Saccharomyces cerevisiae S288C: one gene and its partner. Changing the gene in region 1 together with any one later gene gives a genetic interaction. Each region holds a gene or a part of one and is shown on either strand. Other genes may lie near its edges.

What was found. Genes that interact genetically often act in the same process or in processes that back each other up.
Region 2: mutations in FRK1 (region 1) and PTK2 together harm fitness more than expected from each alone (negative genetic interaction), as found in Saccharomyces cerevisiae (3 studies listed by BioGRID).

The regions. Positions count from the first base shown.
Region 1 is NC_001148.4:282,964-287,779, reverse strand, and holds FRK1 (protein kinase FRK1), read left to right. Parts: upstream 1-1,718; coding exon 1,719-4,316; downstream 4,317-4,816. Other genes in the region: putative mitogen-activated protein kinase kinase MKK2, read left to right, coding at 1-266; 60S ribosomal protein eL33 RPL33A, read right to left, coding at 4,810-4,816. UniProt on the Saccharomyces cerevisiae protein: Putative serine/threonine-protein kinase that may be involved in rRNA transcription and ribosome biogenesis.
Region 2 is NC_001142.9:544,027-549,209, reverse strand, and holds PTK2 (protein kinase PTK2), read right to left. Parts: upstream 3,424-5,183; coding exon 967-3,423; downstream 1-966. Other genes in the region: CBF1 (Cbf1p), read right to left, coding at 1-451; APS2 (Aps2p), read left to right, coding at 4,035-4,478; CDC8 (bifunctional thymidylate/uridylate kinase), read right to left, coding at 4,498-5,148. UniProt on the Saccharomyces cerevisiae protein: Essential determinant for high-affinity spermidine transport. Required for the activation of the plasma membrane proton pump PMA1 via phosphorylation of 'Ser-899'.

The DNA of each region.
Region 1 (4,816 bases):
AAATAACGCAAAACGTGGCTCCTATAGAATTATTGACGATGATCCTGACGTTTTCTCCCCAGTTGAAAGATGAGCCAGAACTAGACATATCCTGGAGCAAGACATTTAGATCTTTTATCGACTATTGTTTAAAAAAAGATGCCAGAGAGAGGCCTTCTCCCAGGCAAATGTTAAAGCATCCCTGGATTGTAGGGCAAATGAAAAAAAAAGTCAACATGGAACGGTTTGTAAAGAAATGCTGGGAAAAGGAAAAGGATGGGATATAAACTTCCAACATTTTCCTCTCGTAACCAGAACTGACTTTTTCTACAACAGGAATTCTTTAACGAGACTTCTCCTCCTTCACCATTCATAAGTTTAACGATGTTCTTTTATTATCTAGACACTCCGAAATATTCTTAACATATACGTATATAGTTTACTGAAAACCGAACTAGCCATGGGCTATGAAAGTTCTCCTATTTCCTTACTTACATCAAATAGAAATGCGCATCCAAGTCTTTCTGGCAGGCACGCTATGATGTGCTAAATTATGACTCAAGTGAGTACTAGGCGCTTTTGTACTCAGCCGCGCGGGGAAAATTTCTTCCCTCCCTACCAAAGAGGAAAAAATCATATGGCGTCATATTATCCTATATACAACGGTCGAACAAAAATCTGCTCGACTCAGAAAAATAAAAGGGTTTTAACATACTTATTGCTTACTTAAGTTACCACTTCAGTAACTGGAGCTATAAATACAATAAGCGTTTTGTACGTAGAAAATATCCTCTATATTGCCTGATTTTCTTTAGTTCCGACAAGGGCTCCGACCACGGGACAACCCTTATGATTTCTGTTATAAGGCCTATTTGTTCTAGTTACGACGACACTTACTGCTGTCTCTTGACCGTTTTTGCTATACTCATCCTCTTACCATTAAAAAAATAAAGAAAATGGACTCGAGTAAAGATGAAACCATATCTCTTTAATCACAACATACTCACTCTATGGGAGATTCTATTCTCCTTAGGTTAGTAAATGGCATTATAAATTAGCAAGCGTAGCCTCTTCAGCCTATACATCAGCTGAACCTGCACAATTAATGTCATGTGGCCGACGTAATGCATATCCATCTTTTTTACTCCCTTAAAAGAAGGTTTAGCCCCTACTGTATACTCAATGAACAGATAATGTCTATCCATAAAGTATATCATTTCAGGAACCCTAAATAATAGTGCTATCGTTACATATACTTTTAAATTTCATATTGCATTAAAATGCCGCACACCTTTTATGTAAACAAAGCCGCACTTCCTAAAAAAGCAATTGAAAACAATCGAAAGAATGAGTGTAGAACAGCAAAAAAGGTAAACAAGAGAAAAATTCTGAAACCCAGATCAACACCTGTTTCAACCCCTTCATCGATTTAAATATAATTCAAGTTCAGGTCATCGAGTAAATCTATAATAAATCAGATCACAAAATCTGGTACACTGCTGTTGCTGATCACGGTTCTTTTCATCTTTAACACATTTTCGCAGTTTTTTGACTGTGCCACATTTTGCATTAATTTGTTTCTTGTGACGTGTTTGCGAGAATTTTTTGATTGCTAATTAAACCTAACAATAATCGCTATTTTTTTTACCCATCCACAATACAAGAAAGGCGAGCCAAGCGGCGTTCAATATTCAATTGGCCATTACTTCTATATACTGATTTAGAGTGCCAAAAATTTAATGTCGTACACCAATAAACGTCATACATACTACGGAGGGTTTACCAACGATTTGTCTGACACATTTCAGTACCCTCAAAGAACAGATGAGCAAAGGCGGAAACATGTAACGTTTGGTCCTTATATCCTAGGGTCGACGTTAGGAGAAGGAGAGTTCGGAAAAGTGAAGCTAGGCTGGCCAAAGAATTTTTCAAACAGCTCTAATTCAACTTTTGACTTCCCAAAACAAGTAGCAATTAAACTTATCAAACGTGATAGCATATCGAATGATTACAGGAAAGAAGTTAAAATATACAGAGAAATCAACGCCTTAAAACACTTATCACATCCGAATATCGTAAAATTAGAAGAAGTGTTGCAAAATTCTAGGTACATTGGTATTGTCCTAGAGTACGCATGCGGGGGAGAATTCTATAAATATATTCAAAAAAAAAGGAGGCTTAAGGAAATGAATGCATGCAGGTTATTTTCTCAGCTAATAAGTGGAGTACATTACATACATTCTAAGGGACTTGTTCACAGAGATCTCAAATTGGAAAATCTATTACTAGACAAGAATGAGAACCTAGTTATTACAGATTTTGGGTTTGTCAATGAGTTTTGCTCACGAAACGAATTAATGAAGACGTCATGTGGCTCTCCATGCTACGCAGCGCCTGAACTAGTGATAAGCGCCGAACCATACGAAGCTAGAAAAGCAGATATATGGTCATGTGGAGTTATACTTTACGCTATACTAGCTGGATATTTACCGTGGGATGATGATCCAAATAATCCTGAAGGCAGCGATATAGGAAGACTTTATAATTATATTAACTCCACACCATTAAAGTTCCCTGATTATATTCTTCCTATACCTCGGGACTTATTAAGACGCATGCTGGTCTCAGACCCAAAGAAAAGAATAAACCTGAAACAGATCAAGAAACATGAATGGCTAAAGCCTCATTCTTCATTCTTATCCATAACACCTGATGAGTGGGACAAACTAAACAATACTCAATCCGTGTTCAGATTAGCAAAACCAAGAAGAAGATATGGATCTAGACCACAATCCAGTTGTTCTACCTCATCTCTTGGCTCAAGGAGTGATAAAAGGGATTCACTGGTCATTGATTCAACTTTAATTACTTTCCCGGCTCCGCCTCAAGAATCACAAAATCATATTATAACCAGACCGGCTTCTATTGCATCTGACCAGCGGCTGTCACCTATAAGAAGATCTAATAGGCACAATAGAAGTAACTCTGCTGCATCCGTTGCCTTGCAGGCAGTGGTGAACGCAGATAGGGAATATGTGTTAAGTCATGAACAATCATTATCCCCAGTACAAAACATTAGACAAACTACGGGAAACATGACTGCCAGTCTTTCACCTCCACCAGCCATAAGTCCAGGCGATATTATAATCGAAACCACACCTATTAAAAGAAATACAATTTCTGGGAGTAGTATTGTACCAAGTTTAGAAGAAGAGTCGTCTACCACAATGCAAACAAGCAAGATTCAACCAAATAACATGGCTTCATCACAAAATCATCAATACAATAAAAATAAGACCCAAAATAGTCTCCAATCTGCTAAAAATTTCTACCGTACGTCTTCCTCATCCCATACAAAGCCACGGCCAACTTCATACCATCCTGGCTCATACACAACACCTCCCTACAATTCAAATACGCTCTCCATATATGAGATCAACGAAAAAGCTAAAAGTAGCGCTTCATCACAAACGCTGAATCAAAGAGACACATCCCCATTTGATTCCACACCATACCTTGCCCTAGATACATGCATAACCTCATCCTCTTCCATCGAAAGCTCTCCAAAGTTAATTACGCACGGCCAATTTTCAGTAGCAAAACCCTCTGTTGATTTGCAAAGCGTATCTGGTGACTTGATCAAGTATAAGAGGGACGCTGATGTAGTAACGAGAATCTATGATGAAAAATACAAACAGAAGCGCAAAAGTTTGAGATATAGCGGCATATTCAGTGACATCTCATGCGATACGGTCACCGAAGAGTCTGATGAATTGAGGCCACCAGAATCTCCTCTTCAACAACATGAAGGACAAGAATCAATTGATAAGGCGAAAACGGAGGACACAAGTGAAAAGGGTAGTAAAAGTAGCAACATCGCGAAAGCTACAGCACAAAAACACGTCAATAACCATCTAGAAAGATCACTTAACGAAGCAGAGTCAACAAAGAAAAGATTTAGCTTTCTTTCCTTGTACTCTTATGATACTTCCAAATCTAGTTTATACTCATCAATGGATTCCAAACGGAAACCTTCTCCACCTTCCCAAAGACGCCCAAAAAAGGATGACAGTTATCAAACAAATTCAAAGAATCATTATATCACTGCTTCAAATATGCAAACATCCCATCAAGTCTCAAAAGACCTGCCTGCACCAACGATGGTGCAAAATAAATGTACTTTAGAAACTAAAAAAGCGGTCCGAAGCAACAGGTCCTCCATAATGGTATCTGAGGTCAACAAGGCAAGCGTAGACAATAAAGCAGCCCAAAGTCCAGAACATTCAACCGCAAAAAGAGTATTAGGGTTTTTCAAAAGAAGAAGTATGAAAATCTAGAGATAATACCTATCTCATTTGACAATAATATCCACTTATCATATGAAAAAATCAGTACTATCTGCAATTTTTCCATTTAAAATGTCTGTCGCTAAAATTTTGCGATTTGCCAGACCAACAAAATAATGTTATAATATACTTTATGAAATTTCAATCTAATAAACATTGAGCATATATATGCATATACCTACCATATATATTTTGCATTACTAAAAACATCAAAAATTTTTCTAAATTGTTACTTATTATCAATCATAGCTTCACTCCGCTTGAATCACGTCTTCTAAGCGGGAACATTGTTTCACTGCGCTTACAGCGAGATTCGCAGACATTTTAAGTAAGAAGACAATTTCTTTTGCCTTTTGTACGGAATTAATTTTAAAAATTATACTATATATATATTAGTCTTTTCTATTCTCAAAATATAATAATATTAATAGTAATAAAAGAGAAAATAACGATGTTTAATAGAGTACTTATACAATCAACAAATTTAGATG
Region 2 (5,183 bases), on another chromosome or scaffold:
CCAGGGAGGTGTTTGGCTTGACTCCTTCATTTGATGGGGTTATGGCTCTTTCCCCATTAAGGGAATCCTTGTGCTCACCATTCGCGTTCGTTTGATTAGATGTGTGGGCATCAGAACTATCTTCCTGGCCCTGGATTAAGTCTGTATAATTGACGGTAGCGGCAACAGCAGCCTCAGCCACTGACGCATCTTCGTCATCACTTCCTTTCTCATCTTTGTTAGACGTCAGTCCGCTTTCATACTGACTTTGAGTCCCTTTTAGCGTAGCCCCTTCGCTCAACAGAGCAGAGTCAATATTTCCGTCATTGCTCTCTTGTGACAACAAGCCTTGATCTCTTTGCTTTTTCCTGGCCTCGCTGTAGTTCTGCTCCTCGTTATAGCCTCTTTTTCTTGCCGAATGGATTTCCTCATCCTCAGTAGAAAGCTTATTATTATTTGCCAGAGAGTTCATCGTTAATAAAAGTGTAGAAAACCGTATTATATTTTAAGCACTTGATGTTGGTACTTGTAGCAGAAATGAAAATGACCGCCAACTAAAATGATTAATTAACAAAGTGTTTATCTTTAAGGTATAATGGTTTACATTCTACATTAAATAAAAAAACGTGATAAGCACGTGGATAATTGTTGTTTGCCCAATACTTTTCTCGTCCGATTTTATTTTTTTTTTGACCTTGGTGGGTGAGACATGGTGGTCCCGAAGGATCCGAGAGGAATGAGAAAAACCGATCACGTACATCGATGTACGGGAAAAATAAATAATAAAATGTTTGTTTATTGTTTGAAGTAAAATATATAAGTACATATGTGGATTTATATGTGTGTGCTTTATTTCATTGTTTGATTTATCTTCCGTTCTTTATCTTTTCCCGGTGGGATATTTTATATAAAAAGCTTATAAGGAAGGGTATGAAAGAATATGACGATACTAAAGCATAAAAGAGGGAATTAAAGAAGTCCTAACGTCTATCTTGAGATAAAGGCGCTCACGGATGACATGTTTGTAACGCTGTTGGTAATGTCCAAGTGGTGGTGAATTACCTTCTTCTTTTTCGAGGATGACACGCTTGGACTTCCGAGGCTTCTCAGTGAATTGCTTGATGACGAAACATTCGGTGCGCTAAAGTTCTTTGTAGAAGCCGGTGTTTCCGATTTGAGTGATAGGTCGCTCATACGCTTATCTAATTGAGTGCCAGCCTTTGCAGGGAGCGGAGTGGGGCCATTATGTGTTGGTGTAGTAGGGGTGGAGTTTAGCATCGACTTTAATTCCTTCATTGTGGAATCATCTTCGCTTAAGTTGTCCTCTACTTTTGTGGAGGTTGGTGTTGGTTTTTCCAATATGCTGTCCACATTAGTCGTGGTAGCCTCTTCAATGACTTTGTCCTTGTCGCCGTTCTTGACCTCATCTTTCTTCAAATTTTCCTTTTTATCTTGCTGCTTAGGTTTGGTGCTTTCATTCCCCCCTTCATCCCCAACATCGTGTGTTTTGGTCTTTGCGCTATCTTTTACCTTGGATTTTTGTTTCAAGGAAGGAGATTCTGCAATTTCCAACATCGATCTTGGTTTAGAAGTGAGCGTTTCCTTTTTTAGGAATGGATTAGACGTGTGAATGACCTCTTGATCATGGGGTGCATCTAATGAATTTTCACTAAAATCATTGGTAGAAGTACTTTTCCTTAATTCAGGAACCCTTACTAAGTCATCATCATTTGGCTCGACACATGTTTCAATTTGTTGGAAAAACGGATCATTAAATAAATCATCCATTGTATATCTAGTTGCAGGGTTCGGGTCAGCCAATCTCCATGCGATACGCGTGGCATCAGTATTCTTGAAATTTCTTGCTAAAGAGTATTCGGAACCAGGACCCGGCTTGTGGCAGCCCTTGTCCCTGAAATGTGGGTTTTGATGATTGATGAAGTTGTCATATGACACTTCAAATTCCCTGAATCTCGCATCAGTGTTACAAGAATCGATGAAGGGGATGATATTGTTAATCATGGTAATCAGCATGATTCCGAGGGCATAGGAATCCATGGCCAACGGATTATAGGGTTTTTGGAACTTTTCGGGGTAGTGCTTCTTGGCATCGAAGTACATTACCTCTGGCGGAGTGTATGGTGGAGAGCCAATCATACCTTGGCATGTTTTCACTGGACTAGTGTAGTCATGAGGTATCACATGGTACCAATCAGAAATACCGAAATCCGTCAATTTGCATATACCTTCTTTAGAAATTAAAACATTTTCGGGCTTCAAATCACGGTGAGCAATACCATTGTCATGACAAAACTTAATACCTTGGGCCACTTGTTTGAAAAGACAATATTTTTCATTGAAGGGAACGTTCTTCCAGCCTGTTCTTTCCATCAGTTGGAAGAGGTCCTTAACACCTAGTTCCATAATAAACCCCCAACCACGAGTTGTATATGTGGTCGTGGGAACTTTTAGAAGATAAAAAGTATTCGTGATGTGAACGTTATGACTTAAATGCTTAGCTATGATGAATTCTTTGGAGCATCTCTTGTAAAACTTCTCGGGTGACTCGTGGTATATCATATTCAGTTTTTTTAGAGCGTAAACATCCTTTTGCCTGTAACTTGATTTAACCTTTCTAACTTCACTAGACCCACCCGAACCAATAGGTTTATTGTCCGTATCAAATACGAAATTATCCGTTAAATGGACACTATATTGTTTCATATCTTCGGGCAAAAAATCGTTCGGATTAGCAATTGGAAGGGGCAACATCCGTATCTTGCTGTTACCATCATGCATGTAAAAACTCAAATCGTTCTCCTTATTCGTATTCAGAGTGTCTGCAAATGCAGTATCTGGCCTAGCATGGTTTGGGCTTATGCCGTATGGATTATAAACTATATTCTCGTTGGGAAAATGGTGACTAGCCATGCTATTAGACCTTTGCGGTAAGCCCGCGTGATGAGTATTTCTTTCTTTGTTTCTCGCCCTTTCTTTTTCCTTTTCTCTATCCAAAACTGCTCTATCCCTATCTCTTGTCGAGGCAATGCCAGTACCTGTGCCCAGAATATCAGAGGGAGAGTTCAAGTAAGGGTTATTATTATGTTTAATTAAGTCCTGCAATGCGACAGAGGACTTGTGTGACGACACAGACCCATTTGAAAATCCTACAGAAGCATTGTTTTTTCTTCTATGTAAAGAAGCAGATCTCTGCCGTGCCCCAGCAGAAGACGAAGGTGAATTACCACCGCTACCACTGCCACTAATGGACGGAGACGTTGGCCTTTTTCTTAAACTTCTCCCATTGCCCAATTGTTCGGCACTAAGCAGTAACGAAGAGTTATCCGTGTGACTGCTGGAATTAAACAGGCGTTTTCCCAATAGTTTCAAAGTACTAACAGAGGGACTTTTATCTACCTCTTTGTCCTTACCGTTTCCCGCCATTATCTTATTCAATCGGTTAACCTGTAAAAAACTGCTACGGCTTACACAACTTTACTTTCCTGGTGTGCGTGCGATATCGTGGTTTGGATAAGGGTAGCGACGGGATGTGACAATACCTTTCTTTAACACTATATATAAACCTGCTTTTACCGTCAACCGGATATTATTTGGTTCTACCTCCCACCTGCAAGGGGTCGTGCCAATGACGAAAAGACAGCCACCCATGCACCGCACTCGCACGTGGCAACTATTTGCGCCTTTGCCCAAGAGGTTATGCTTGTAGATGGGGTGACCGTACTAAAGCGTTCATGTTGTATATACCATATATGTAGGCTTGAATGGCTATAGGACGCGGGTATGTTTATCATGCTGCCGGCACGTAGTACTTGCAGCTCCGGCATTTCTAAACTGTACCTGTAGTGGAAGGGTCTTTCCAATAGTTTTGCAAGACATATCATTTTGCACGCATAGAACAGTTTCGGATACTTTTGATACAAACGGGGAGGAATGGTTTATTCAGTAGGTACATTAAGAACGTTTGCCTTGAGATAGCGTTTGGTGCTGTTATTTTGTGAAGAACGGAGACTTGTTTGCTGTAAGGGATAAAAAAAATGGCAGTACAGTTTATACTGTGCTTTAATAAGCAGGGTGTGGTGCGGTTGGTGAGATGGTTCGATGTACACAGTTCGGATCCTCAGCGTAGCCAGGATGCCATTGCGCAGATTTATAGACTCATATCTTCCAGAGATCATAAGCATCAGAGTAACTTCGTAGAGTTTTCCGATTCGACGAAACTCATATACAGGAGGTATGCGGGTCTGTATTTTGTCATGGGTGTGGACTTACTTGACGATGAACCCATATATTTGTGCCACATCCATCTGTTTGTGGAGGTGCTAGATGCATTTTTCGGCAATGTCTGTGAACTGGATATCGTATTCAACTTTTACAAAGTCTATATGATAATGGACGAGATGTTTATTGGAGGGGAAATACAAGAAATTTCAAAGGATATGCTGTTAGAAAGACTAAGTATTTTAGATAGACTAGACTAGGATATATGTACAGATCCTCCTAGAAGAACGAAAATTTATCATGATCAATATGCGTACTCAAAACAGGCTCAACGATTTGCCAAATAAGCGCTTCAACTTCCTGAATGCCCTTATTAGTAACGTCTACAATCGTGATTGACTCATCGCCTTTCCTTATCTCTTTATCCAATAGCTTCATAAAAGTTTGCTTCACTTTTTCTTGAAACTTAACAGTTTCGTATCTTTCGTCACCAAATCCAGATTTTTCGGCGTTATTGTCGACATCTTGAGTGCTTAAAAATAATGTCAAATCCGGTTTCAGCAACCCTACATCGGGTTGCAAGCACCAATCCAAATCCATTCCATTTGTCCCCTTAGCGGCAGAATATGCCACTCCAGAATAAACATATCTGTCCATGACAATGTTCTTGCCTTCTAGTAAATCTTTCTTTATCTTGTCAACTATTTCCCATCTATTTGCCGAAAACAAGAGGTGAATTGCCTGATCTGATAATTGGAAACTATCATCCGTCAAATATTCGTTTATGAGTCCTCCGATTCGGGTAGACCTTTCGGGGAACTTCAATAGTTTACAGTTTGGTTGCAATTTTTTGTAAAGAATATTACATTGCGTGGTTTTACCAGTCCTATCCAATCCTTCTATCAGTATTAATTTGCCACGACCCATCATTCAAAATGGTGATCTTTCTGTCCACTATGAATCAT